Linked DNA regions of Mytilus edulis. The protein of the gene in region 1 purifies or fractionates together with the protein of each later gene. This does not show direct contact. Links are inferred from orthologs where the notes say so. Each region holds a gene or a part of one and is shown on either strand. Other genes may lie near its edges.

Region 1 (16,461 bases):
TGATTGGACTTCAACTTCATCAAAAACTACCTTGACCAAAAACTTTAACCTGAAGCGGGACAGACGGACGAACGAACGGACGGACCAACAGACGCACAGACCAGAAAACATAATGCCCCTCTACTATCATAGGTGGAGCATAAAAATTACTTATATAAGTAGTACCCCTGACTGACAGCATAACATAATATGTCTTGTAGAGAGGTGTATAAAAATTAGACATGGTTTTTTTCATGCTGTCAAAGATTTATGGTTAAAAATGAAAGCATTTCATGTTTTGAACTAAATGTTTTCAAACAGTATGCCCTGAAAAAAAAGTTCCAGTTTTCATAGATTACAATGTATCAATTTTCCATTTATATGGTTACCTGCTCCTTGTACAAATCTGATCTTAGTTTTTCATGCTCTTTGACCTGTTCAGGTGTTGACTCCAGTAAGTTTTCTTTTGGTTTTACCAACAGACACACACCTTCAATGATCAAATAAAAATGCATGCACATTTGCTGTTATTAAACATTTTATCAGTAATTTGTACATTTTCCCTTTGATCATACTGCCTAATGTTTTTCAGATCATGGACAGGATTTGATACTGATGTCATGTATAAGTGCTGCAATGTCCTGTGTTCAAGGCCATCTGCGTAAATTTATCAATGAAATGCATGCGACTTCATTCATCATTCATACAATCATACAATCAAACAACTATCCCCACATTTTGTACGTGTTACAGTAGTTTTACTAACTATTTCATTTTATTTCAACCCAAAATAAATACAGTTATACCCTAGCTGGCTTGCTTGATATTCTTGTTAATAAAGTCAGTTACAAAAACAAAAATGTCTTTATTCTATATGTATTAGATTGATAAACATTTCTATACAGCTCATTGTTCATGATAATATATTTTCAAATGCAGTCATGACATTACAACTGCTTTGAGTCAAAAGGTATAATGTCATCAGTTGTATATTACTTTAAAATTGAACAGAGCTTGACAAACTGAATACAGTGATTTTCCTTATGTTTAAGGGAAGGGGCCCAGGGCCCATGGAATTGGGAATATAAGTTCGTGAAATGTTGGATTTGCGGAAAATATATTAGTTCGCACCAGCCACGTGCAATTTGGTCCCAAAGAAAATTTTGAAAAATTAAGAGCAAAATTCTGCATTCTGAGAAGGAATAAGTTTTAATTGCATAAATTGTGGACAATTTCAAGAGATTTTTAAACAAAATACCACATTAAGACACCAACAAAACCTTACAATGATGTCTATATACAATTGAGAATTTTAGAGCTGAAAATTGGAAAAAAGAACATATTTCTCATTGAGACAGGGGCCCATATTCGGACCCAAATAAGAGGGTTGTAAAATCACTGGAATACTAACCAGACTCCAAGATGTAGAAACATGAATTTTACTATTCAAAACCTATAAAATCATTCAATGAGAATAAATTTTTCAAATCACTGAATAAGAACTCTGAACTATCGTGGGGTTTATTTGCTTAATGTAATACCTTTTTGTAGTAACATTGTGGTTTCCTCTGGAAGTAACTGTAAAGGTAGCCCAAGTTGGTTGTTCTGTCGAGGTAAACGTGGAAGACATCCCACCAATGATCCAACAATTCTCCATTCCTCCCTCAATGTCACAGAATCTATCAAGGTACAAAATGTTATAAATCATCAACCCAATCAAATGTGAAATGACAAGGGTCAATCAATGTTACATTTGTCTCAAATCAGTTTAAATTTATACAATAATAGAGCTGCTGAATGTACTATGACACTGAAATAAATGCTTTTAACAATAACACCAAGATTTTTTTTTCAGTAAATTGTCAAGTTATTACTGCTTAATTTTATTATTTATAAGTTGGAAATGGTGTCTTCATCTGGTTAAAAACTTATTTTGAGATAAGATGTTAACGTTATCACACATAATAAATTGATGGCATATATGTGTTTCTCATGTATATGGAAATAATATCATGCACCAATTCATATCAATCTGTGAAAAGTCAAAATCATTATGCCCATTCCATATAGTATCTATACGAAAACTATAAAACGTCAAGGGATAACAATATCATTAAATGTGAAAAAAAAATGAAAAATTCTTCAAAGCCTAAAGTCTCTATATACAAATAACTGAAAAATCATTTCATTAAACAAAATCAAGGTGTCTGAAGGGTATATATATATAGTTTAAAAACACAATTCTTATTTGAAGAAATACCTCTTATGACATTCTTCCATTAAACATTTTATTTAGTGATTCACATAGCCACAATGTAGTTTAATTACCATCTTTATTACAGTTTCCAAGAATAGATATTCATGATACTGTTGTTGTTCAATCATAATTGTTTCTGGTACTTTTAGTGAGGAAGTGTCAACAATTAGCACAATACAAATATTTTTCATCCCCAATCCAGGGATGATTCCACTATATAGTTTAGGGCCGCTTAACGGCCCTTAAATTGGCCAGCGGCCCCCAAAAATTGTTTGTAAATATTAATTCCCAATTCAGGAAAATAAAACAAAAATCGGTAATTCACCGATTACGGCAACTATAATTTTTCATAATTTGTCGTCAAAATGTTGTAAAATCCGGATAAGAATGCTGACTATGATCGCATTTTATTAACAACGATTTAATTTAATTATGTCAACATTAGGTAAACAATTTTGGCGGCCGGATTCAATTGAAGTTAAAATGTTATGGGAGAATTTGGTTTCGTAAAAGTAGATTGCTCAGCACGTTGATCAAAAATATGCTTTTTGTCAAAATGGGTGTCAAAACAGACCTTGGCAAAGAGCAAATTCAAATTTTGATAGAACATTGATGAATGAATTTTAATGGTAAAAGCAGATTACCCAGAAGAGCCGGTTATGTAATGTGGTTAAAACTTGTTTTGTAAAAGATTTTTTTTTATATTTTGCTCTTTTTTCCGCAAAAGACAAAAGTTTGAGCGTTTTTGAAAATATTGTTGATGATAGACCATTCGTGAAATGAGACCCCCCTGAAATACGATGTCATCATTTTGGAACTGTTGCAAAAGATATGTAAATAATCCAAATAATTTTAAAGTTCACTGGTTCAATTGCTTTAAATATCTTATCAATTAAATATATATACTTTTGTAATTGCTTTTCTAAATTCGACAGTTGGCCAGTTCTATTTGAAATAGTACATTTAAATCAAGGTAAGTTTATAAAGATGATCTGTTGAAAAATTACCCAATGGGTGATTTATTTCAGTGGTTAATATGGCAAGCCGTTTTGCTATTTAATCTAATTTCAAGATATCTCATAAACTTTATCAGATATCTTATATAATAGTTCATCAGATATTTGATATAGTTTGAAATATATCTTATAAAGTTTATAAGATATCTTATATAGTTCACGATATATCTTAAATAATTTATGAGATATCTTATAGTTTATAAGATATCTCATATAATTTTCTTTATCAGATATCTTATAAATTATATTAGATATCTTATAAACTATATAAGATATCTTATATAAAGTAAATTTGTAAGATATCTTATATAAAGTATATTTGTAAGATATCTTATATAAAGTATATTTGTAAGATATCTTATATAATGTATATGTAAGATATATATTTTAAAATCGATATTTGATATCTTCTATATTATTAAAGATATCGTATATAAATTATACGATATTTCATATGATTTTCTTAATATGATATCCAAATTATATAAGATCATGAAGATATCTTATACAAAACATATTTGTAAGATATTTCATATACTTCAAGATATCTTCAATATATCTTATATATTATATGAGATATCTTATATATTACATAAGATATCTTATATATTATGAGATAATTTGAAATTCGAATAAATAGCTAAACGGCTTGCCATAGGTTTATGTCAGCTGGTACTCGAGTTGTGGTATATATGTTTTTGTAATAGGCCTCGTTTACCAAAGTTAAGATGATAGTGCATCATATGCAATGATATTCATGTATTACAACTTCCCTAGTCTGAATCCAATAATTTCTTCAATCAGTATACAGGTGAAATTAACTTAATATTCATTTTCCGTTTTTACAGGAAAATGATATTATTTCGTCTTAGATTGTATGCATAAAAAAATCCCAATTGGGATAAAAATTCCCAATTTGATATTCAAGGGACCCATTTAAAAACACCTGGAATCATCCCTGCAATCAGACATCTTTAAACTGATGTAATTCCACTCATCCTTCAGGGGTTAAAAAATCCACTAGCCCGACGCCCGGGACTAGATCATTTACACCTCGGGCAATTAAAATGTGTAATCTGATATGCCCGACGGACTAGTAAAAAAATACTTCTTGACGTTTCCAAAATAAAAAAAAAATCCCTTCATCACTATTCTCTGTTAGCCAATTCGATTAAATTAAATCCTCTGGGATTCCAAGAATTGAACTGGTTTGTACAGGTCCTGTTGTACATATTTTAAAAATAGAACAAATAACTCTGGCATGTCTGGGTGGCCTGGTATCATGTGTTGATCGCAATTCTCGTACTTTAAATATCGATTTCTCATACCATGGCTTGGGGTATTGTACATTGCTTATCGTGCCGATATTTTCAATTAACGGTATTTGGGGGTATGATGTATTGATTGGTATTGACCTGTTTTGTTGCACAGCTCTTGAGCACGAAACCATGCAACAAAATATTTCTTAATATTTTAGTACGGGAACCCAAGGAACTTCGTCAGTTTCAAAACGAAAAACGGTAGATGAAAGGAGTAACGAGGCTGAAAATTCATCCCACAAAAATGCTAAATACGACAGGGAAAAGCCGCGGAAAAAAATTAATGGTGTCCAGGACAGAAGGGCTGCCAAGTCTTTAGCGCGAGACTCAAACATGTTCATGCTTATTTGGCGGCATTTTCCTTTGAACTATTGTTTTTTCTCTTTCATCTTTACAATTTGGCCAAAAAATCACGCATTCACTTCCTGAAAAGTTGGCAGAACTGGGACACAATGATTCCCCTGGCAAGGTTGGCTGTTGCTGATGAAAAGACAGACAATGCTCTGTGAATATTGCCGTTAGTTGCGCCAAACATGCAAAAAAAAAGTCTGCTTTGAATATGGGAACAACTGAGTTAGGTTAAGCACCAAAAGAATAAACAACAGATCAACAAAAATGATTAAATACAGTGTATAATGTCTCCTTCAAAACAAAGGACACCCACTTTGTATTTTGCAGCAAACTCTTGATTTTTAAGGCATACTAGGGCTAGCAGGTCAGTTTTGATGGACTAGCAGTTCTTCCAACAGAGCTAGTAAAATCCTGCTGCCAATAAGTCCTGGGCTAGTTAGCTGTAACAAAAATTTTTAACCCCTGATCCTTCTTTAAATTTTATAAATGAGGTACCAAAAGAAAGAAGAATGATTAATCTTTCAAATTGTGATAATTTCATTATGACATAATTATTACCGTACATAATTAATTGTTATGTAATTAGTTGCTATATTGTGATGTCCATACTTGAATGAATTTAGCTTCTTTGTTATATTGCATCCCAAAATATTTTATAGATTCTTGCACAACACAGTTTGACCTCCAAAACTATGTCTCAGATTTTTCCTATTGTATTTCATTCTCTCATAAATCTTCAATGAAGTTTGCAACATCAATTCATAAGAGATCACTAAATTCAATTGGATATAAAATTTGTTCTATTGATGATTTTGGAAATCTGAGACACAGTTTTGGAGGTCAAGCTGTGATGTACAAGAATCTATAAAATATTTTGGGAAATACCTTTTTGTGTTAACGTGTTATGGCACTTTTAAAGGTGTTGTTAACTGTTATCTGAGATCAATTTAAGCTGTTAACTGTTTTCAACCCACTTTGTTAACTGTTATCAGCATTTTTGCAATTTTTGTTAACTGTTTTTGCCAAAATTGAGGTAATTTGTTAACATGTTAACAGACCCCCTATCCCCCCCTCATTATTATTTGGACTAAGACTCAACCAGAAAAGATATAGACTAGCTGATATAGTGGTAGCTGCGGAAGCTATGGTTCCGCATGTCCGCAAATAGTCGAAAAATAACATAAGGACCTAAGAGCTACGGTTCCGCAGCTAATATAGTGGTATTTCTTTTCCAAACTTGTTATTGCCAACAGCAAAATTTGTATAAATGAAATGCCCCATACTTCTAGAGGCGTTAGAGACTCATTTGGGGGGAAACAAACATGAAAAGTTTGCCTTGTTTTTGTTGTTTTTGTTGTGTTGGTGTCTTGTTCACTTTTGGCTTATCTTCTTGGAATTTTACATATTTCCTCTGCAATCTTAATAGCTGAGTTCTAATGCATGATAGATTTATTGGTTCCAGTCCTTACTTTCAATTTAATTATAGCAAGGATTTGTATACCATTATTTTATAGTGCAAGACTACAAAATAATTTATACTTTTTTGGCACCTATGCCTATGGTGTTTTGGTGGGTTTTTTTTTTAATTTCACTTTTCACGATGTTATTTCAATACCTTTAGCACTCCATACAAATACATTTTGGTTCTGTAAATATATTTTGATTCTGCAACGATCAGACATTACATTTTCCAACGATTTTTAAAAGAAAGACAGAAAAATCTACTTTCAGTTTCACAAAAAGATAGAGAAGTTACGAACGGAAACCACGTGGAATAAATATACTAAAAATAACTCCCATGTGACATGAACGGCGGGAAATTACAGCATTACCTCCACAAAGAAACAAGAACCTAGGAAAATAACATTGTCGAGGAAAATGGCAGCAGAAATAGATCAGCGAATAATAGAAATACAGAGAGAATATCTTGATTTCCTTGATGATGGAGTAAGTATATTAAAAAACGATGCTGTAACTTTCCTGAAAAATAACTTATTATTTGTCAATCACTGACTAATATTTAGTTCAGCATTTTACTTTTCATTGATTATCACTGACATCAGACATCACTCAGTAATATCAGTAAAAGGATACAAAAACCATGAATCGTTTGATTCCTTTCATCGGTGAACGAGTTATTTACTTCAGTAGATCACTCAAACTCGGACTGAAACTGAAAGACATCTGTCATGATCAATGGACAAAGCATGCAATAGAAGTTAATTATAGTCTAAATAAGGGGCAGCCTCGATGTTCCAACACCCCGTTAGTCCGACACGCCATTGGTCCGACACCCCACTAGTCCGACACCCCATTGGTCCGACACCCCACTGGTCCGACTCCCCATTTGTCCGACACCCCATTAGTCCGACGCCCCATTGATTGTATATTGTTTGTCCTATTATATAGATCTCTATATTGTATTTGAAATAAACACAAATTCAGGAATTTTGCAACTTAGATCGAGGGCATCTTCGCTAGCCAAGGGTTACGATCCACCCTTGGCGGATTGAGCCAACATTTGTGAAAACAATGTTTCGCCACCTGCCGGAAGATTTAAGTCACGCCCATTCCAAATACATTATTCTTGACCAATGGTAGCACTTGAACTCTTCAATTCGAAGGTAAAAAGACGGTAGTGTCCAGATTCTACACACTTGGTAAAGCCGGAAACGAAAATATACGTCAACATTCATGCATTTGTGCATGAAACATACACAGGAACTTCTATTAGTTGATTAAAAACATTCAAGTTGTCACTAAATATAGTCGTATTTTTAGGGATGTAAAGACTTGTAGCACAATAAACACGTGGCAATTGTTTACAAACACTTTCCACATTTACAGGTGATCATGTTAAAGGCGCTTTTTGATTGGATGCAGCAAGTTTCGACTGCAACCAATAAAAATCCTTACCCTGTGTCTCCGAAATTTTATCTCAATCCGCCAAGGGTGAAGAGAGCGGGAGTGGATCGTAACCCTTGGCTAGCGAAGATGAGATCGAGGGATACCCCTAGAGTATCTCTATTAAAGGCAAAATAAAAAATCGACCTGTAAGTATACAAGAAAAAATGACATTACAAATGTTCAAGTAAAACAATCACTATATATTTTTGTTAAGGAGCCAGCTGAGGCACGCATCCGGGTGCAGGAGTTTATCGCTGCATTGAAAACCCATAAGTGGCCTTCGGCTGCTGTCTGTTCTTTGGTCGGGTTGTCTCTTGCTCAATTTGACAATTAAGAAAAATAAAAGTTGTTCAAAACAAAAACTCCGACTCACAACCTGCAATGTAACTAGTTCATCTGGAAGGATATAAACAACACTACAAAGAAAGTCCCATAAGAAGATCGGTATATTCTTACTTGTTACCGGTATTCGAATGTGCAATAGTAGTTTCACGAAACCAGGAAAAAGAACCATGTACATGTATATTATCACAAAAAAGCATCTATAGCTAGGCCAGGTATTAAAATATCAACAAAATAAATGCAGGTTTAATTTTTGGAGTAACTTGAATGTTATGGCAATTCTGACGTGTTTGTTTTCATATGCCGGTCAAAACTATGACGGGACTTACATTTATTATGGTATACAAATTACCATCTGTCAGTCTGTCTGTCCATCTGTCTGTCCGGCGTAATCATGTCACACCGTAACCTGAGAACGACTTATACAAATTGCATGAAACCTAATATAGTTGTTTTTTATGATGGTCAAACGATCTGTATACTTTTTGGTGAAAATAAAAATTACGGGACTTTGTAACTGAAAAAGGGGGTGTTTTTTTCACATGTCACGCCGTATCTCAATAGCCATTTATGATTATCGCTAAAACATTTCTTAGTTATATTAATCTAAAGATCTGTATACTTTTTGGTTACAATTCAAAATTTTATTTTTGAGTTATTGAGTTTTTGTAAAAAAAGAAAAGAGGGGGGGGGGCGAGGGTTCTCACATGTACCGCCGTATCTCAAAAAGGATTTATGATTATTGCTTAACACCTTACACTTCTTAGGGTGCAATCAACAGTTTTTTTCTATGACGTCATATTTTGAGGGACCATGTATAAGTGACCCTTAGTGGTGGACTGATTAATAAGGATACCTGTAACATTAAATTATTTAAATTAAGAGTTTATTAAGAATTCTAGAAAATGGAAAGGTTTAGACCATGGGATGTTACTCCAGTGTTGTCATTAGTTTTCTTCTTAAAAAAAGGCTTTCCATTGGCCAAAAACTATTTTGTGATTATGTATGTATAGTCACACCACTGTGATCATGTTATGTATGTGTGGTTAAACCCGTGATCATGTATTTATTTGTCACAACACTGTGATTATGTATGTATGGTTACACACCTGTGATCATGTATGTATGGTCACACCACTGTGATCATGTTATGTATGTGTGATTAAACCCGTGATCATGTATGTATGGTCACAACACTGTGATCATGTATGTATGGTTACAACACTCAAGCATTGTGGTTTTCAAACTTGTTTATGTAATGGTCAATGTGCTGTTACCATTCTGGAAAAGTTAAATTATTGTTGTCATTTTATAATTATCAATGTTGTGTTACCATTCTGGAATAGTCAATCTAAGGATACTTTTGAAAGATCAATTAAATGATAATTAACACTACATTTACCATTCTGGAATGGTAACACTACATCGACCATTCTGGAATGGTAACACTACATTGACCATTCTGGAATGGTAACACTACACTACATCCACCATTCTGGAATGGTAACACTACATCGACCATTCTGGAATGGTAACACTACATCGACCATTCTGGAATGGTAACACTACATCGACCATTCTGGAATGGTAATACTACATTGACCATTCTGGAATGGTAACACTACATCGACCATTCTGGAATGGTAACACTACATCGACCATGGTAACAGCACATTGACTTTTCTGGAATGGTCAAACACTGCTACCACATTGATAATTCTTTGATGCTATATTAACTGTATTTGGAAACAGTATTTAGGGTAATTTAAACAAGCTGAATATCACTGTCTTTTCTGTAGATGGTATGCAATTTCCAATAATTTCTTGGAACACAAACTAGGAAAGTATGTGTAATTAACTGTACACATCAATATAATCATAATGTGCATTGGTTTGTTTTCATACATGTCTGATGATTTATATAGTATATCTACCTACATGTCCATGTAAATGTTGATACACCTTTTTTAGTTCTATTTTAATTTGAAGGCATACCAAAATTGTCTGTGTATGATGAAGTCTTTTACTATTTCACTTATCAAACCATTAAATGAGAAAAAATGTCACATCATTCCTTGGAATTCCATAATGAAGAGCATTTTAAACAAATCCCATTTTACAGTGTAGCCTTTGCAAAAATGTATCCAAGAATGCATTCAGTTCAGAAGCCAAGAATTAACTAGGTCCCAAATGAGATGAGATTACATTACAGATCTACACTTTGAACAACACAGAAGAGCCACATAACAAGAATCACATACCAATATGTGCTTATAGCTACTAAACAAGAGTTAAATATCCCAGTTATTATACAGCACAATACCTGAACCTTTGATTATTAATGTCTACATTATATACATTTTTAATTTGAAATGCTCTTTTATTCTGTTGAGCATATTCTCATCTGTTGTTATCGATAAAATCACATGTATGAATTTGATAATAATTTATTCATTTGATATATTCTATATGACTATTACACATATTGTACTTCAATTAACTTATAAGTCTTATTCATGATTCAATTAATTGAATAATAATTTTGTTAAGGATGTACTTAGGCAATCTTATGTATAGTTAAATAAATCAAGATTTCAAAATTGATACTTTAAGCTGGAAGAGTATTATAGTTCAGGATCAAAATAAGCTAAAAATATTGATAGGTCATGGAGATTTTTTTTCAAAATATTTGATTTATAAAATTTGCGGGAAAAGGCTGAATTGGACTTTTACCTCATGTTTGCATTGGTATTGTTTTGGTCTCAAATCAAAAGAAAGAAAATCAAGAATCTGCTCAAATTTTGTCAAATGATCTTTTATGAGCTATAAAGTCTTATGAAAAAAGATAATAGGTCATGTAGGTGTTATGGGGCAAAACATTTTACCTTGTATCATATGGCAAAACATCAAGGAGTCTGAACACTTATTCAAATACCTCACCTAAGTACATCCTTAAAGGTTAAAAATATCAATCAACAAATAGGTCCTGAGACACAATACTTGAGGTTTCAGGTTGCTGGGTTTCAGCATTACTTTCTGTGCATATACTATTCAAATCAATTTCAGTATCAAAACTGCTAATATTCATTTCAGAGGTATCTGGGAATCCAGAATCATCTGCAGTATTATCATGATTATCACTATCACAAATATCATTATTATCACTATCACAAATATCATTATTATCACTATCACATATATCATTTTTATCAACAATGGATTCCAAAATATATTTTTTTTTACTCAATAATTTTTTAAGTGTATGTTTCTTTATATGATTGATGATATTATTTACAATTGTATTGTTTGAAATATTGGTTCCATTTAGATTAATGTTAATGTTAATATCTGGACTGAAATCTTCAGGAATGGTGTTGTCCAGATCCGCTGTGTCCACGGCTTCTTGGCAGTAACTAACAAAAGATGATGGAATGCAATTTTTTGTAATATCTAAATCTGAAAAAAAAAAAATTATTAAAACAGTTGGTCATGACTGTGTACAACATCAATTAACTTATTATAAAATACCTTATATTTTAGAGGCTCTTAACCTTCAATCAGTCTGCATCATGTTTAATCCCGCTGCAAATGTTTGCACCTGTCCTAAGTCAAGAATCTGATGTACAGTAGTTGTCGTTTGTTTATGTAATATATACGTGTTTCTCGTTTCTCGTTTTGTTTATATAGATTAGACCGTTGGTTTTCCGGTTTGAATGGTTTTACACTAGTAATTTTGGGGCCCTTTATAGCTTGTTGTTCGGTGTGAGCCAAGGCTCCGTGTTGAAGGCCGTACTTTAACCTATAATGGTTTACTTTTTAAATTGTTATTTGTATGGAGAGTTGTCTCATTGGCACTCACACCACATCTTCCTATATTTATGCATCATGATTCCTATGTATTATACTTCTATAATAAACCAGTTTGGAAAATCCTATCACCACTTTGATTTGTAGAAAACAAGAGTGTACACGCTGAAATGTCTTTTCTTATTTACTAATCATTGATATTATTTTAATAGTCCTAAATCTAAAGCTTTACTCCAAGTATCACATAAACTTAAAAGGATCAATTAAAATTCAGTCAATATCAATTCTGATCTTGATTTGTAAATGAGCTACCATTTGATTTTTATGGGGGGGCTAGGATGAAAAATTTTGTCCTGCCTTTTTTTTAGCTGTAATCTCTGTCCTGCCTTTTTATTTTTCACTCTATTCAGTCCTGCCTTTTTTTTTTTTTAGTTTATCCTGACTTTTTTTACCTAAATTGTCGTCCTGCCTTTTTTTTTTTTTGCAAGTGTCTCATCTTGCCTTTTTTTTTACTCAAAACTCCTGTCCTGCCTATTTTTTTCAAATTTCATCCTAGACCCCATAAAAATCAAATGGTAGCTCCCTAAATCACATAATGTTTCAATATAAACATGTGAATACGAAAATTGAGAGTCTTTTGAAGAAAAAACTACATCTGGCTTAAATACAAAATTAAATCCTAGTATCTATGATGTGTTAATTTAAAGTAAGATGAGATTTAAGGAAGTTTGCTGCTCAGTTTCAAAATAAATAACTTTTCTTAAAACTAGTATATATTGATAGGGGATAAATTGAAGAAGCAAAAAAAAAATAGGGGTCATGTGCTTGTTTTTGAGATAAGAGTCGTTTAAATTTTGGCGGGAAAATGTTTTCTCTTGATTTTTCTTAGCCTTATCATTGACCTGTTAAAGTTCTCAAAAACTATTAAAAAATAAATAAAATTTTATAAAACTTTTACAAATGGCATATAATTATACATGTAAAAGATTTATGAAAAGAAAAATGGGGGTTCATGGGCAATTTTTTTTAAGGATTTCAAAAAACTGACAAAAAATCCAAAATATTACAAGCAAACATCCTTAATGAGGCTGCTGATACTGATAAATCAGACAGCAAAACAACAAAACAAAACTCAACCAGAGATACAAAGTGAATGTATGGTATTCAACAAAAGACAAATATAAAAAAGAAGATGTGGTATGATTGCCAATGAGACAACTATCCACAAAAGACCAAAATGACACAAACATTAACAACTATAGGTCACCGTACTGCCTTCAACAATGAGCAAAGCCCATACCGCATAGTCAGCTATAAAAGGCCCCCGATAAAGTTCATATTATATAACAAACTATATTTTCGCCTAAAGCAGCTTATCAGTTTCATATTTGTACAAACCAATACTCTACATTTACTCTTACAAAAATGTGTGCTGCTATTTTAATTATATCCATTCTAAACAGAAAACCATATAATCCAGTCACCAAATTATTTTTAGGATACAGTTTAAAAAGTATCCATCACACCTATTAACCATTTTTAATGAAGATTGGTATCTCTTGAATATAAATAAATAGCAAATTGTACCTAAAAATTTGTCTATCCCATCACAGTGATCTGGATATGTTTCTCTGCACTGGTCCATTGTTTTGCTTTTTGTTATGGTTAGCATGCACTCTTCCAATTTCTTCTTTTTTTTTGCAGTTTTGACTTTTGCGGTAGAATCTTTAAGTGAGGTTTCCAATGCCTCTTGTAAAAAGCTTGTTCTTTTCAAGTCTTTAATTCCTTGCAACTCCTTAAACAACTGAAATATGAGTATATGTCATGAAATGTATGAAACTTACATTCAAACAATAGTTCAGCAATAATAAAAGTAAAATTCATTTACACATACTCATCTAAATTAAATTAATAACATTAACTTAATTCTATAAAACTGCAGGTGACACACGTTTTCTTATTCTTAATGTTTTATCATTAGTCATTTTGGGATTTCTTAAACATTCTGTATGGATCTGTTTTTTCTCATTGTTGAAGAGCTCAAAGGTAACATGTGAGGCTTAATACCCATTTAATCTTAATCCCAGGACGGTTCAAATGTAGTCTTTTCTTAATAATGTCATAAACCTTGTGTTTAAATTTCATAGATTTCTATTAAGTTGTACTTAAGTTATGTTGCGAAAACCAAGAAAAATGCTTATTTGGCCCCCTTTTTAGCCCCCAATTCCTCAACTGTTCGAATCTTAACTCCCAAAAGCAATCCCAACCTTTCTTTTTTTTTTTTTTATCTTTATTCTAAATCTTGTGTTTAAATTTACTTATTTAAAGTTATTGTGCGGTTGTGTAAAAGGTACAGATGTCTGAAATAAGTTTCAAAATAATTTTTTTATGATGTAGTTGAGAAGATTTCAAACTTTACTGGAACAATTGAATAATAGTAAGCAGTGAAATTTCTATAGATTTATATTTTTATCGATATAAATTATTATTTTAAAGTGTAATCTGCATTTCAAGAGAAATCAAGGGAAACAACTGTAGATATTTATGTCAAAGATCTATATAAATCTCCGTTAGTAAACTGGTCTTTCCATCAACTTTATTTGAACTTTGGGTTGATAGCTGTCTCCTTTGCAATCATACCACATCTCCTTATATTGATATTTTTCGCATCGTGAAGATTTTCTACATCTCTATTGGTCTACTGTCTTTTTATACCTCGGACTTTTCGGGCATCACACACATCAACCGTGTTACATGCATGTGAATTATGTTAACCCTCTAAAAATAATGCCTTCTTATGGACTATCGTTTCTTCTAACATCATTACAGTCATAGGAGAAAAGTAAGTTCCCCCAAGGGTGACTGGGGAAGAGAAATATGGTCACTCGGTCTTCTCCCGACCGGCAGTAAAACGCTTGCTGAAGTGGAGTGTCCGTTTGGTTGTGCGGGATGTATTAGTTCGCAGCCACGTCCGGTTAGAATGGGGACGTTAAATCCATTGTCTCGTGTAAAGAGAGTGCCACGCTCTTTGCACGTTAAGAACCCTTGCAACAACTCAATGAGGGTCCGTAGGTTGCCTGTTGCAAGGCAAGATTTCTATCCCTATCCAACTTACCCTTATTTTCCAGTGGCAGTCCAAATTTCCCCGACCATCATCCCAAATTGCCTCTATTATCAGATTATGACAAGACCTACCTATCGTATTTATCGTGAACTTGTTCTCGTCCTTAATATGCATGAAATATTTGCCACTGGACGTTAAGCAACCGACAATCAAGCAATCAAAAGTAAGTTCTCACTAAAGAAATGTCCTTTCATTTCAACTAAAATCAGGCGATATTTTTCAAAAAAAATATTACCAAGTAAAGCCATGAGCGATTTTATAAAACATTTTAATTTATAGAAATACTGTGGTTCCGATTTTTGTGTAATGACTACACAAAAAAGTGTTCACGCTAAAACAATTCATAAAAACGATAACGTGTACACAGTCGTTGGACAAAGGTGAGTTCACACTCAAAAAATGTCCCAGTATCATTTCAACTAAAAATCGATGACCGATGACCGTAACTGCATTCACAGAATGACCGTCAATTCTAAGAAATATCCGTATTTATATTACTACTTCTTTTATCAAATGATTAATCGTGTTGGTATGAACGTATTTATATGAGAGTATTATCCTATAGGTAAAAGAAAATAAGACGTGCTTCAAATACATAGTTCACTATATGTATTTTATTTTACAGTCGAGGGTTTAATTTTTAAACTGAATTTGCAACAAGACAAGCACATGAACAAGTGAAGAAAACATGGAACAAAAAAAGCAAATTAAATGACACCTTACAAGTAAAATTAAAAAAATGCGATGTACAGCCTCCAACTACAAGTCAAAAGTTTTTTTTATTATTTCTGGGATTTCTTCATTATATTTTGATAATGATTAACGGTCATCTTAGCGATTTTTTCAAATCTAATTTCCCGGTCATGACACAAAAATCGGCACCACAGTATTTCTATAAATTAAAATCAGGTATGTCAGTCAATTCGGAATTTTTCCTATTTACCAATTTACATCTACGACATAGCTGAAAATCTCGAAAAAAAATCCTTTGAGCATTTTCTTTTCTTCGTATATTCCTCCGCAATGCAGCAGCCGTGTCACACGGTAGTGAAATACATTTTCAGTCATTAAACATTAATTTAAAAGGGAAGGTGGTAAAGGGAATTATTTACAGGCCATTATTTATCACTCGAGTATCAATTTTGTCCTATATATATATATTTTTTTCATTATTGGCCTAAATATGTAATGTGCCGTTAGTCAGTCTGTACTTGAAAACAAAAGATCAAATCTTACCCATAACTCTACACCTGACTTTCCATGTCCAATTTCCTCCAATACTAGACACTCCCCGTCGTCGCCAACCATCTTTCTTCCATTCACACAGATATATAACTTCTTGTCTTCGACAGTACAATC
Region 2 (15,688 bases), about 45 Mb from region 1:
ACGTGTTACAATTGCCAAAGAACAACTCTCCACAGACATGAAATGACATAGAACCTTAAAACTATAGGTAATCGTAAAGCCTTCAACAATGAGCACATTGGTAAAGATTACTTACAGTGGTCCACCTTCACAAATGACCAGATGATATCTGTTCTAGCCCAACCCGAGAACTCATTATAGACTACTTACAGTGGTCCACCTTCACGAATGGTCCCATCACTCTTACAGACGATATCAGTTCTAGCCCCACCAGAGAACTGGGCCATCCAACCAATACTGGACAGGAAGAAACATATGTTAATGAAGAATAAGATCAGAGCTGGATACTTCTTAGAATTTTTCCAATCAATCAGAAATGTTAACTGAAATATACAAAGACAGTGTCACAATAGAGTTAACATTATTACATTATCATTTTGTTGCATGTTCATGATGTTTCTAGTTGTATTTTTGCTTTGTTCTTTCTCTGTCAAAAAAAACAATAAATATTGCAGGGGTAAAGAAATCCACAAGCCTGATACTTGGGACTAAAGCATTTAAACCTCAAGTGCTAGTGAGCTGTAACAATATTTCTTAACCCCTGTATTGTTTCAGGATTTTCTGTATTTTGAAGGACCCCCCCCCCCCTTTTTTTGGCCGATCAATGCATTTGAATGGGGACATATAGTTGGAACCCTTACCCCCTTTGTCCTTGGTTGGGAACCCCCCCCCTTTTAAAATGACTGGATCTGCCCCTGAGTTGTTAATTTCTGTGTCATTTTGGTCTCTTGTGGAGAGTTGTCTCATTGGCAATCATACCACATCTTCTTATTTATATTCTATTGACTATTTTTTTTAATTGTTCACAAGTAACTACATGGAAATAATATAAACTTTAAGTGCCTTTTTCAAATATATCAAGGATCCCTGCATTAGTTCTGTCAACAATAAAAATAAAATTAGTCAATATACAACTTGACATCAGTAACAACCAATAGAATATAATTATTGAATGAAAAGTTCCATGATAAAGACCACACTTTGACCTATAATGGTTTACTTTTACATATTGCGACTTGGATTGAGAGTTGTCTCATTAGCACTCATACCACATCTCCTTATATCTAGTGTTGTCTTCACTTTTCGAAATATAAAATACACCAGAAAATAAGTATCTTAATAATGTGCGAAAGGTCAATTAAAAAGTTTGTTCATGGAATTGTGCACAAAACATCAATAAAAACGTGAGAATTAAAGTAATAAAGTTAGAAATAAAAACTATATTGTATTCAGGGAAAAAATGAACAGATCTTTTCAGTAAAAATGTCTCATCACTTGTATTTTACATTTTACAAATGTTTAAGCAACCAGACTACAATAAACCCTTTGTGGTTAAGGTTTTGTTACAGATGTTTGGCTAATAAAATTAATGAAGAACAAAGGTATAAATTAAAGTTATTTTTTTGCCTAAAAAGTTTTTGATAACAAACACCCAAAGAAAACTTGCGGTGCTTTTATTGCTGTCTTCTCAAAAGTTTATTTTAAAGTACAATATAGTTAGTATATCCTTTACCTTCAGAAATATTCTGTTCATGCATTTTTAATTTGAGTAACTTTTAAAATGTAGTCGTAAAAGGGTCTGAACATTTCCAAGTTTACAAAGTGATAGAAACAAGATAGGGAATGGGAAGTACATACCTGCTCCAATTATCCTGTGTGCATGGGAAAGATAGAAATATTTATATGATTCTGAAGCATTTTGTACACAAATACAACTTAAAATGCAGAATTTTTACAATGGTTCTATAATTGTGAAAATTTGCGATGTGGAGATAACTCTTTAAAATCACTGGTTTATTTGTCTCAACCATGACATAAGGGAGATTACTCTTTAAAATCAAAAGTTAATTTGTGTCAACAATGACGTAAGGGGCATAAGTATTCAAAATCAATGGTTCATTTGTTTCAACCATGACATAAGCATGATATTGGAGATTAAACTCTTTAAAATCCAGTTAATTTGTGTCAACAATGATGTAAGGGACATAAATCTTCAAAAACAATGATTCATATGTGTCAACCATGACATAAGGGAGATAATTCTTTAAAATCCATAGTTAATTTGTGACAACAATGACGTAAGGGACATAACTCTTCAAAATCATTGGTTCATTTGTGTCAACTAAGACAAAAGGGAGATAACTCTGTAAAAATCAGTAGTTTATTTGTGTCAACAATGACGTAAGGGACATAAGTCTTCAAAATCATTGGTTCATTTGTGTAAACTAAGACAAAAGGGAGATAACTCTTTAAAATAAATAGTTTATTTGTGTCAACAATGACGTAAGGGACATAAGTCTTCAAAATCATTGGTTCATTTGTGTAAACTAAGACAAAAGGGAGATAGCTCTTTTAAATCAATAGTTTATTTGTAACAACAATGACATAGGGATATAATTCTTTAAAATCGCTCATTCATTTGTCTCAACCTGACAATTAATTTGTAAATAACGGATATGTATTTCCTATAAACATTATAAACCTACCACAGTAAACAGTGTACAGACTAAACATATAGAACCAAACACAGCAATGATAGCATGAACTTGGTCGTGTTCTGAGTCTGTGTATAATGGATTTTGACACTGGACACCACATCCCTCAGCGTAATCATACCAGCTCTCTGGGTCCTCTGTCCTGACCAAAGGAGATATACAGGATCCTTCTGTGTTGAAATCTAAGGAATCATATGCTTGTGACTGAATGGAATAAAATAGTGAATTATAAATTATGGCAAATAAAAATAAAATCTTGATGATTTGACCCCAATTAATGTGTGCTTGTATTGCTTCTACATCATTTGCATGGTCTACATTATTTGGTCTCTGGTGAAGAGTTGTTACATTGGCAATCATAACACATCTTCTTATTTTTATATTGATGGATTTATCCCATAAAATGTGTGCTTGTATTAATTATACATCATTCAGTCTCTGGTAGAGAATTTTCTCCTTGGCAATCATACCACATCTTCCTATTTTATATTGATTTATCCCATACAATGTGCGCTTGTATGACATCTAAATCATTTTTCTCTATATATATATAGCTAGTTGAGAGTTTTAATCTAAAAAGTTGTAATATAAACTTTATAAGAGACTTTTAAAGAATTGCTAGTTAAAATATTGCTACATAATAGACTTTTAAAACAATAACTTTGATTATGCAAATTTTGGGTTCTGTTGTCACTGGTAGTGAGTGCTATAAAAATTCAATTTTCATCAATATCTTTTCAATCTGGATCTATATTTAAAGGTGAATTTCAAAAATAATAATTTACCTATTACATGTATTAATATTATAAATTTAAATGTCTTTTAAGATCACAATTTATTGGTATTATTGTGTTTAAAAATAGCCATGTTAGTAACTATAATGTCATGAATGTGTATATGAAGCGCTGAACTAACCACACCATTGTAAAAATATGAGTCATCTTCCTAACTGGCATTTAAATCTTTGGAAAAAGACATTTTAAAATGCACTTGAAAACATAATACTTTATTAGGACATTTCGGTTTTTCTTTGTGTGTTGAAGAATTTTCTTCACCTTTAAACCATAATAGATATAGGAAGATGTGGTGTGAGTGCCAATGAGACAACTCTCCATACAAATAACAATTTAAAAAGTAAACCATTATAGGTTAAAGTACGGCCTTCAACACGGAGCCTTAGCTCACACCGAACAACAAGCTATAAAGGGCCCCAAAATTACTAGTGTAAAACCATTCAAACGGGAAAACCAACGGTCTAATCTATATAAACAAAACGAGAAAACGAGAAACACGTATATATTACATAAACAAACGACAACTACTGTACATCAGATTCCTGACTTAGGACAGGTGCAAACATTTGCAGCATATGCTTATAATCAAAACACTAAGCATGAATTACATCAAAAGTTACTCAGTATTAATTTAAACCATGTGTGATTTTGTTCTTTCTCATACTTCCTATTCTTTATATTCAAGCATACAGTAATTGTTATACAATGTATCAGCTGATGGCAAAATTATAACCACATGATTTATGAAATAAATGTTTAGTATAAAGATAGGATAGGTTTCACAGGTGTGTTTAGAAAAGTTCTTAGCTACTGAAATTGTGACGGATTATATAGCACCTGAAATTGACATTTTATAATAGGAAGGAAAACTATTTTCGTATTGTTTTCTCATTTAACAATGTTTAAATAAAACTATAATACACAGATTTTAAGTTAGTGTTTCATAAATCAATTTAAAATTTTTGAATAATTCTGAATATTAATATTTTATTTATCCATCACAAAAATATGAAATTTATAAGGTGTTGTATTAATGTTTTATGTTCAGTACAAAAAATGTAACTCATTAAGTTATTGTTTTATGTAATAACTTTTACTAATATCATAAATATTACAACATGTAACTTATAAATTCATTATAAAATATATAGCACTCTTTGGCTAAATCATGATATGCATGATAAAATCTTAAAAACTTAGATTTCTGCACATATATACATTAACAAATATCATTTTGCAAACTGTAAATTCAGAAATCATTGCGAGGTTTTTATTAATGCGAATATTGCGAATGGTGATGTATCACAAATAATAAGAACTCCCATTTTGTTGCCTGATACATATATCTGTATGAAGATGTTTCGAAAAATCGCAATATTTGATCTCGCATTTTTGTCCATTCTATAAAGACGGCAATAATAAATTCACACAATAATTTCTGAATTTTACAGTATGTAACATATAAACTTACTGGACAGCCCGTCTCAAAATGGCTTTCATCACAGTCTAAGAAATCAGGCCAGGCTCCATGGTAAATCTCAACAATTTTACATGGTGATTTTATCTTCTTACATAATTCTTTACTAGGCAACTCCACCTGCCCACCATCACATTTAGGCAAGTACACTGAACAAAGAAAGGGTTGCACCAATGACCAGCATTCGGGAACATATTTCAAACCCTCCCAGAGTTTTAATTTTTCGTTTACTGAACTTAATGTTGAAGAATCTATGAATTCCAGCGATGTATTAGTGAAGGTCAAGGTAACACCAAGACATGTGGTTGTAGTTCCGAGTGACTGGCACGTTGCATTTTTGTAACAAGTCTGACTGGATGAAATATCTACTATCAAAAGTAATAATGCTGCCTCTCTTAACACCATTTTGGAAAACATTGAAGTGAAAATTCAAAGACACAACAATATGAAACCAAAACATTTAAGCTTTATCATGTTTAAAAGAATCACTTTAACTAAAAGGTGTCAAAACACTGTTAATTGTTTTAAAACTGGCTTTTCATAGAATGTATCTAGAGGTTTATTTGAGTATCCAAGTATATTAATGTTTGTGCCACGTTTCCATACTAACAAGAATATCATTGGTTCCAGTTAATGATGTGTTCATATAAAGGATCATGGAACAGTTATTGAACTTTTCCATATTATTTTACAAAATTGTTATTGTAGTTCTTCATCTAAACGCTGTGACAACTAAATGCAATGTGAACTTTTAACCCAACATCTTCTCTGTACATGTACCATGTATGTTTGAAACACGTTGGGATGAAACAGGCACCATTCGTTCTCCCATCCTCCAGAAATTCTCTAACCTGTAATTGAAATTATTGTATTATTATAAGGTAAATGGAAGATCTAAATTCTATAGGTAACAAATATTTACAATGTACCACATTTATATCTCGAATCCAGATGTCGACTTTCTCTTATGAATTGTCTCACATTTTGACATACCAGGGTCTTTAACAGCTTACTACATAAAATGGGTTCCATTGTTTTGCTCAGTGTTGAAGGCTGTTTTGTGATAAGTTATTCTCATTCTTTGGTCTCTTGTTGATAGTTGACCCATTGGTTGCAATCATAAAACATCTCCTTATTTATACATTAAGTGTATCAAATTGGATGCAGATGTCTATCCTTTATTCTATTAAATTAAGCTTAAAAATACAGAACAAAAATTTAAACTGTGACAAATGATAATAATTTAATTTTGGATGTAAAGCTTCTTCTGATTGGCTGACGTTATTTTGTTCTCAGCCCATAGACATAATTTAGTCATGTGATTGTGACGTTTTTTCATGGTTTTTTACGGTTTAAAATGGAATTTAGAATTAAATTATAAGAAATGATATTTTTTTGGTCTATTCGAAATAGACTCAAAAACAATAAAATGAAGTTAAAATATAAATTGGAAATTCAAAGTAAAATTTTTAGTTTGTAATATATTAAATGCAGCTCTGATCAATTGAAGTCAATGTTACAGATGATCATGAGATAAAATTAAGTTACTACAACATCTAAGGGTAAAATCTTTAATTGTATCATTTTTTTCTTATAAATTTCTTACCTTTAATTTTAAAATATAAAGAAATCGAATTTCATCCACAGAAAAATCATGTGATACGCTTCTTAAACAAGTATATTTGTACAATGTAACTGTGCTATCATTTTAAATTACAAAGCAAATAAATTCTGGTTAATCTTCAGTAAGTTTAATTCAAATGTATCTGTTGGATTTGTAGCAATAAAGAGAGGAACATATTCAAACAACTTTAAATGCTATAACACCCACTAAAATATCAAATTTCAAAAACGTAAAAAATATTCAAAGAGGCCAAAAAATTGACAAGTCGTTCATCCAAAAACAGGCTTTAATCAACTATCATGTCTATAATGCAAAATATGACAGATTTTATGAATGAAATTCTCTTTAAACTTTGACCTTTAAATATGACACTTAAATAGATATAATTACTTATTGACTAATTGCCAAATACTGGATGCCTCTACGTTATGACCTTTTGAGCACTTAAAAAAAATTGTCATCAGGACATCAATTCAAATTGTTTCAATTGTTATAAAGAATAGAGATATAACCATGATAACTGAGAATTTCAAGTCTTCAAACTGACTAAATTAGAAATGAAAACACACATACATTAATAAGCTGATGCTGCAAATCATTGATACCTGTTCATTGCTGTTCACGACTTCTGTCTTTGACAGTGAAAAAAATATTCAACCAATTTTTAAGTCCTACACAATTACCAAAATAACAAGAAAACAAATTACATGTATGAATCCAAAGGACAGCTTGTGATCATTCTTCACTAACAAGACTAAGGGGAGCCAGACTTACCATTGGAATATTTATTATGAATTAATGAAATGAAACATTGAACTCTTATAAAAAAATTATGACCTAACTTGAGAAAAATTGTTTAACGCATGTTCTTACACCTCAAAACTTACACAAGTAAATTTTTGAGAAAATTAAGGGGAGATAATTCAAACATTATAATTAACTTATATCAGTTTATAAATTATTATTTATTTCTACTTCTTCAAGTAAATACAGATTACTTGTACAAGTAGTACCCCTGACTGACTATTAGTTTCCTACAAAAAAATCTAGATATACACTGAACTCCATAAACTTTGACAAATCTCAATTCTCAGATATATTTTTTTGTAATATAAAATCGAAGATCCTGGAAATTTGGGTTCAAATGTTTTTTAAGAGTTTGGTTTGTAAATTTAGTTTAGAATATCCCTAAGTGAAACCATTTGAAAAAAGAAGTAGGTTATCATGGTTATTGTCCTCACTAATGGAACCCTAACTTATTTTATCACTACTTTTGGATATTTCTAAAAATACAAGAACACAATACATGTAGGTATAGAATTTTTAAATATTCCAATTTTTCTGTAATCATTCACTGATGATTATTACATTGCAAAATTAAGAACAAAATTTCTATTAATTTCTAAAAATAATAATATTATGACATCGTAAGAGGGCAATAATAATATTACGACATCGTAAGAGGGCCACACAGCAAAATTAAAATTATGTCAAATCTAATTATCAACCTTTGGTATATATATTTATTAATCATATTTATTGATTGATGTTTAACACCACTTTAAGTGCTATTACGCTTAGTCCAAATAAATATGATGCCTTGAAATGCTATTTTATTCTTTTGTTTTGATGTCCATACATCTACATTTATACTATTGATCTGCAGTGTAAATCCATACTGCTGTGCTCTGCAGCGGAAATCCATACTGCTGTGCTCTGCAGTGGAAATCCATACTGCTGTGCTCTACAGTGGAAATCCATACTGCTGTGCTCTGCAGTGGAAATCCATACTGCTGTGCTCTGCAGCGAGGATTAATAGCAAAAAAAAAGAAGTTTATAATTAGTCATTAACCAGTCAAGGGTCTAACTTAAATAAGTTATCAGAGAAAAATAACATGCATGTGTTATTACAGACACTTTCATGAGTTGTCTACTCTTTTTTCCTTAATCTGTAATAACATAATTATGTTTGTTATCAGTTAAATATATCATAAATATTTTATCTTTAATGGGCACTTGGGAATTCTTTAAACTTTGCGCAGTAGTTTAATATATTTCCTTGATAACTAATTTTTAATTCCATTAATACAATTTTGATCAACCATGGTAAATCAATGAGACAAGGCTTTTAAGGGAAAACTAAACTGTAATAACAAGGCTTAGTTATTACAAGCATAAAACTTACAACATTGTATATGAGAGTAAATGAGACACTTGGAATCTTGCACAGTGCCTCATTACAAGCTCTATCATCATTTCTTACAATAAATTGAAATACATTGTTATGCAAGACTGTAAAGAGATATAGACATGATAGAGAAGCTGTAATAACACCCTTTGGTTATTGCAGGAATATATTTTCTGTAATAACATAGGTGTACTATGCATGATTTCTAAACTATGAGCTGTTATATCTTTGCAAAGGTTAGTATACTTAAAGAAAATTATAATATCAATAGAGCTGGAGAAAAATTTAACAAAAGAAAGGTTAACGTTGTATATTTCCCCTTTGAAACATGTAACATACATATGTTATCACAGTTTTTTGATATTTTAGCTCACAATAACAACATGTATGTTATTTTTCTCTAATAACTTATTTAAGTTAGACCCTTGACTGTTAATATAACTATATTGTGCTATTTCATGGGGTCAGTTTTTATCCTTGGAGAAAACCAGGGTGCAGAGAGTCATTGTATTATGAACATTCGTAGGTAAAATTACTAACCCTGTTTTAGAGCCAAACTCACAACCTCAATATTGACAGACTAGTGATACAGTAGACTATACATAGAGACTAAGAAGAGTATACCCTTATTTTCTATTTTTTAATTTTTTTAATTGAATAACTTCACATGCATGACATGTGATAACACCCTATTAATATAAAGAAATGTCAGTTTCTTTTGTGTTTTTAAATGTCTCTTTTCAACTGATATTTGCATCAAGCAATACACAATAGTAGTCATAGCTTCTAGATTTTTGAAGTTGTGTGAAAATCAACAAAGACCAAGGTGAGGTCAACCATACATTTTTGGTCAGTTTCTCTACTTTGTACTCGCTTTCAAATCAAACTACCCGCCATTTACTAACATAAGATAATATTGATTGTAATCGATAATCTGTTAAACACTTTGACTATGTAAATAAGTCAATAAAATGTTGATAAGTAGCCAACAACCTGTGTTCTTACCTGACCTAAATTAATCCATTGATCACGTGACAATGCTGACATCCGTTCTCAATATTAACCTCTACATGTGCAATGAGAAATATTGGTTTGATAAACATATGGCTAAAGAAAGCGTTCTAAATCAAAACAAGGAGATTAATTAAGTAATAGAGACAAACTTTTCAATATAATTATGATTTTTGATACATTTAACAAACAAATAGTGTTTAATAATAAAAGGGGGAAGGGCTATGTACATATTAAACAGGTCAGGAATAAACACCAATTGGTGGATTATACCTCAATTGACGTATAATCCACCAATTGAGGTATATTGGTATAGACCAATTGATGTATAATGCAAGTTTTTTTTGTAATTAAATGCTAGTGTGAGATAGGAGCATGATTTTGCAACTTGCAACCTATTTCATAACCCTTATTGAGTCCTCCGAAATTTCAGTTTTGTCAAAGCCTGCTGCATCTCTTGAGAATGCATGTGTACAACAATTCTTTTGTTGAAACATTTGTACTATTGACCATGATTGACTTTTGATAATGAAGGTCAACTATTAACAAAGAGCACCATTCACCTGTGGAGTTGTACACATGATCACATGACTGCAGACAGTAATGATGTCCATTGACAGGTGATTACAGGTAAATTTGCCAATCAGGAATTGACAAGATAACAATAGAAGAAACTTCAAATACAATTATCGATTAGATGCAATATGTTATGTCACTATACTAAACTAGGAATGTTTGACAAGTTTTCATACCATAAAATGGTTTTAAGAAAACAATGCTCCATTTGGGTGGAATAATTTGTTTTGAAAAACAAAGAATTATACACCAATTGGTCTATACCATTATATGTCAATTGGTGGATTATACGTCAATTGAGGTATAATCCACCAATTGGTGGTTATTCCTGACCTGTTAAAAAAAAGAGAAGAAAAGCCAAGTACAGAAAAAAATTAAAAGAAAATCTACAATGTTACATGATGACATGCTCTTCATGAGTTTACCACCTAAACACGTCAGGTGTACTTTATATAGTATCTTTTGTTATTCGGATGTACAAGTAGTTGAAGTACCAATTAGACTATGTTGACTTTGTTTTTGTAATATGTATTTCTATTTGTATCTAAATGGTAAGTTAAGCCTTTTCAACTGATTTTATAGTTTGTTCTTATGTTGTACTGTTACACCACTGTTCTGGGTAAGGAGAAGGTTGGGATCCAGCTAACATGTTTAATAAGGCTGTTAGTTTGAATTGTTTGAATTGTTTTACATTGTCATTTTGGGGCCTTTTATAGCTGACATCCATGGGATATGGGCTTTGCTCATTGTTGAAGGCCATACAGTGACCTATAGTTGTTAATTTCTGTGTCATTTTGGTCTCTTGTGGAGAGTTGTCTCATTGGCAATCATACCACATGATAAAAAGACAAACAATAATTTTCCAAGCATAGTAACTATTGCTTTCTATTCAGGTAAAAAAAAGTTTCTATTTGTTGGTATGGCATTCTCCAAGCTGGTTAATCCAAAAAAGAAGAAAAGAGTACATGCAGCCAAAGAGTCACCATTTCCAGTTCCCATAGCAACAGAACAGTATGAGAACACATGGTTCTACTACACAGGCTATCTCCATGATAACCACATAGAAATCAAACATAGTGGAGATATTGACAGACTGTACAAAATGGTGAGATCCTAAGTAAAAGTTTTACACTTATTGTGTGTTCAAGTTGCATTTATATATTGTGCAAGATTTGTTCCATGAAAGGTCCTTGAAGGACCTTTATATTCAAATAAGGAGATGTGGTATGGTTGCCAATATGACAACTATCCACCTGAGTGTATTTGAAGTAGATATACTTTTATCATAGGTTTAGTAGTAAATACAGTAGTTTTGAATATTTGATAAATAGCTTGCTGTTTAATCCATATCGCGCAACTTTGATTTGCAACCTTTATGGCATACCCTTTATCACACCCCTACCCTTTATCGCATACCCTTTATCACACCTTTACCCTTTATCACACCCCTACTTTTTTTTTTTACATGAAGTCACTTTTTATAATGTAAACTTAAGAAATATTTTTCCCTTGGGCTGATATTGGTGTCTCGGGATGATACAACATATGATACGGATTTTGCCATGTATTATTCTCTATTAATTGGCCACTGTACAGACATCAACAGAGAAAAAAACCCATACCCATTACCCAAATGATGGCTGCTCAAGGGTTTCGATATGAAAAATGTGTATCAATACAAATAAATGAGAAAACTATTTATAAGTACAAAAACAATGTACATATAAAAAAGAAGATGTGGTATGATTGCCAATGAGACAGCTATCCACAAAAGACCAAAATGACACAGACATTAACAACTATAGGTCTCCGTACGGCCTTCAACAATGAGCAAAGCCCATACTGCATAGTCAGTTATAAAAGGCCCCGATAAGACAATGTAAAACAATTCAAACGAGAAAACTAATGGCCTTATTTATGTAAAATTTATATACATGTACATTTACATATAACACTTGTATTAATAATAATTGTTTATGGCATAAAGTTGTTATACAGCATACCTTAAAAATCAGCTTCACTATTTTTTTTTTTTTTCCCCAAGTAATTAAGGTTAACTATTCAAAGGAATTTATAGATGTTCCTTGTTAACTTGACCAACTGACTCACAAACTGTTTTAATACTGTAAACAGTCGGACAACTAAAATAATTTAAATATCTTAAATTTGGCTTTGAAGAACTTTTCATAATCTTCAAAGATTAAAACACTCTCTACCTAATTTGGTTACTAATTGATTTATTGCATAATTAATGTATTTTTATGCCCCACCTACGATCCACCTACGATAGTAGAGGGGCATTATGTTTTCTGGTCTGTGCGTCCGTTCGTCCGTCCGTTCGTTCGTCCGTCTGTTCGTTCGTCCGTCTGTCCCGCTTCAGGTTAAAGTTTTTGGTCAAGGTAGTTTTTGATGAAGTTGAAGTCCAATCAACTTGAAACTTAGTACACATGTTCCTTATGATATGATCTTTCTAATTTTAAAGCCAAATTAAACTTTTGACCCCAATTTCACGGTCCACTGAACATAGAAAATGAAAGTGCATGTTTCAGGTTCAAGTTTTTGGTCAAGGTAGTTATGTTTCAGGTTAAAGTTTTTGGTCAAGGTAGTTTTTGATGAAGTTGAAGTCCAGTCAACTTGAAACTTAGTACACATGTTCCTTATGATATGATCTTTCTAATTTTAAAGCCAAATTAAACTTTTGACCCCAATTTCACGGTCCACTGAACATAGAAAATGAAAGTGCATGTTTCAGGTTCAAGTTTTTGGTCAAGGTAGTTATGTTTCAGGTTAAAGTTTTTGGTCAAGGTAGTTTTTGATGAAGTTGAAGTCCAATCAACTTGAAACTTAGTACACATGTTTCTTATGATATGGTCTTTCTAATTTTAAAGCCAAATTAAACTTTTGACCCCAATTTCACGGTCCATTGAACATAGAAAATGAAAGTGCATGTTTCAGGTTTAAGTTTTTGGTCAAGATAGTTTTTGATGAAGTTGAAGTCCAATCAACTTGAAACTTAGTACACATATTCCTTATGATATGATCTTTCTAATTTTAAAGCCAAATTAAACTTTTGACCCCAATTTCACGGTCAACTGAACATAGAAAATGAAAGTGCATGTTTCAGGTTAAAGTTTTTGGTCAAGGTAGTTTTTGATGAAGTTGGGAGTCCAATCAACTTGAAACTTAGTACACATGTTCCTTATGATATGATCTTTCTAATTTTAAAGCCAAATTAAACTTTTGACCCCAATTTCACGGTCCACTGAACATAGAAAATGAAAGTGCATGTTTCAGGTTAAAGTTTTTGGTCAAGGTAGTTTTTGATGAAGTTGAAGTCCAATCAACTTGAAACTTAGTACACATGTTCCCTATGATATTATCTTTCTAATTTTAATGCCTGATTATATTTTTTTATCCAATTTCATGGTCCATTGAACATGGAAAATGATAGTGCGAGTGGGGCATCCGTGTACTTTGGACACATTCTTGTTTTAAAATGTCTCGTATACATTCTTTTTCAATTGACAATTATCTCCCTTGTATTCTTAAATTTTTCTACAAGTTTTGTTCAAAGGATTTGCATCTTTACTTTTAGGGATTTTTTGGAAAAGGTACTTTATCCAGAAGTAAGCCAGAATTTAATCAGCGCTTCAAAACAGTGGCCATTCCAAACAAAAAAGGGGAGACAATCAGTGCAAGAATTATGAGTAGGAGAAGGTAAGTAAATGTCAATTACTCAGAAATATCAGAGAAGGACCTATTTATTGTAGTAGTTTATAGTTCCAAAGCTGTTGATTTTTGTAATGGATAATTCTGTTATTTTAAAGGAATTAACCTTTGAGTGAATTTTGATGAATTATCTCCCATGAAGACTCTTTTAACAGAGAAAGCTAATTATTTATTAGTCTCCTGCTGATGAAGTCGAAGGGGACTTAAGGTTTGCACTCTGTCAGTCTGTCTGTCCACGCATCAGTCCAGCAATTCCAGACTTTTTTTCTTCATGCTTGAAGATATTGATTTGATATTTAGTGTATTGTTTTATCATGACAAGTTACAGGTCAAGTTCAATTTTCACAATTTTAGCTTTTCTCCTTGGTCAGTTAAAGCCCTTTCCCTAGAATTTAATTTTTGATGAAATACTTATTATTTAAATTACTAGATTTCTGTTCAAAAGGGAAATAACTCATTTTTAAAAGATTTTAAAAGACATTGTTTGAAGAGTTAAGTGGTAGGTTTGTTTTTTGATCAAGTTAGAAATTGGTTCCATTAAAATTAATTTTTAACCGGTAGGGGACTATGTATTGCCATACAATACTCACAGAATGCTTGTTTCTTTTCAGTTATGTACACAGACTAAACTGGTACTTAGAACAAATAAAAGGGACATCAGGACTCTATACAGAATATGATAGTTCTGAAGAACTCGAGGAGGATCAAGAGTCAGAAATATCTAAGGATGGTATGTAGATATACTTCAGGTGTTATTTATTACAGCAATATGACTTGAGTGTGTAAGTATAGGTAATATATTTGGTTAGCTTGCTTACTAGCTGAACTGTGAAGTCATTATTAGGTCTGGTATACTACCCTCCTTTAAGAGTACACTAGTCCAACAGATAACCAATCTATATGTCTGTAAGATAAGACTACTCAGAAAGGAGGGTAGTATAGTTAACCTTATAATGATAACAAGGTTCAGCTAACAAACAAGCTAGCCAACAATATTACTTTTACCTACAGACTCAAGTCATTTTGCTGTAAACTGTTAATTAAGAAATAATTCTTTCATGCCATGCTCTATGCTCATTTTAACATGGGTAGGCATTATATTTGTTAATATCTTAATACCAAGCGTTAGCGAGGTATTAAATGTTTACAAATATAATGCCTACCCATGTTAAAATGAACATAGAGCATGGCATGATAGAATTATTTCGATTCTAATAGGAATATTTTGAACTTTTGTACTTCGAAGCGGACCTATAGTAGACGCTCGAAATGTCGCCATTTTGATTTGATGAACAAAAACTTTATAGAAAAATCAACAGCTCATCAATAAAAAAAGAACAGAAACATTTAAACTTACTTTAAGAATGTTTTTATTTAATTTCCTAGCGAGCAACACCAACAAAAATGTCCAATTTGATCTCTGGCGTTGTTCAAAATTCATCTGACGTTGCAATTTCAATTGTGACGTCAATCACGTGCAGCCCATGTTCTATTCGAATTAGAACATGGCCCAAAGCTAAAGAAGAACGTCATATTAGAATCTAGCTTCTTATTGTAGACCATTTATATTTTCTCCTTTGATTTTGTTTTGTTTAGTGAACTTTCATTTGATCTTGAAATCTTTAACTAATATCTCAGGAACTTATTTAAAATCTTATAAACTTGAGATTTTTTATTTATCTAATACATATTTTTTCTCGTACATTTGACCTTCTAAATAAGACTTACATGTATCACCAGGTTTGTACTTGGGCA

The links.
Region 2: the proteins of tRNA-splicing endonuclease subunit Sen34-like (region 1) and tRNA-splicing endonuclease subunit Sen2-like purify together in Homo sapiens (affinity purification with mass spectrometry; 3 studies listed by BioGRID and IntAct, counting the BioPlex papers as one, with this or other methods). This does not show direct contact. The link is inferred for Mytilus edulis from reciprocal best matches to the Homo sapiens genes TSEN34 and TSEN2.

What each region holds. Positions count from the first base shown.
Region 1 is NC_092355.1:48,366,606-48,383,066, reverse strand, and holds the start of tRNA-splicing endonuclease subunit Sen34-like, read right to left. Parts: upstream 6,698-16,461; 5' UTR 6,605-6,697; coding exon 6,538-6,604; intron 1,659-6,537; coding exon 1,521-1,658; intron 470-1,520; coding exon 369-469; intron 1-368. Other genes in the region: uncharacterized protein, read right to left, coding at 11,140-11,627, 13,566-13,782, 16,339-16,461; zygotic DNA replication licensing factor mcm3-like, read left to right, coding at 6,801-6,869. UniProt on the Homo sapiens protein: Constitutes one of the two catalytic subunit of the tRNA-splicing endonuclease complex, a complex responsible for identification and cleavage of the splice sites in pre-tRNA. It cleaves pre-tRNA at the 5'- and 3'-splice sites to release the intron.
Region 2 is NC_092355.1:3,467,383-3,483,070, reverse strand, and holds the start of tRNA-splicing endonuclease subunit Sen2-like, read left to right. Parts: upstream 1-9,662; 5' UTR 9,663-9,765; intron 9,766-11,011; exon of another isoform or gene 11,012-11,097; 5' UTR 11,098-11,123; coding exon 11,124-11,309; intron 11,310-13,799; coding exon 13,800-13,921; intron 13,922-14,544; coding exon 14,545-14,663; intron 14,664-15,688. Other genes in the region: protein smoothened-like, read right to left, coding at 190-362, 2,526-2,738, 4,800-5,222.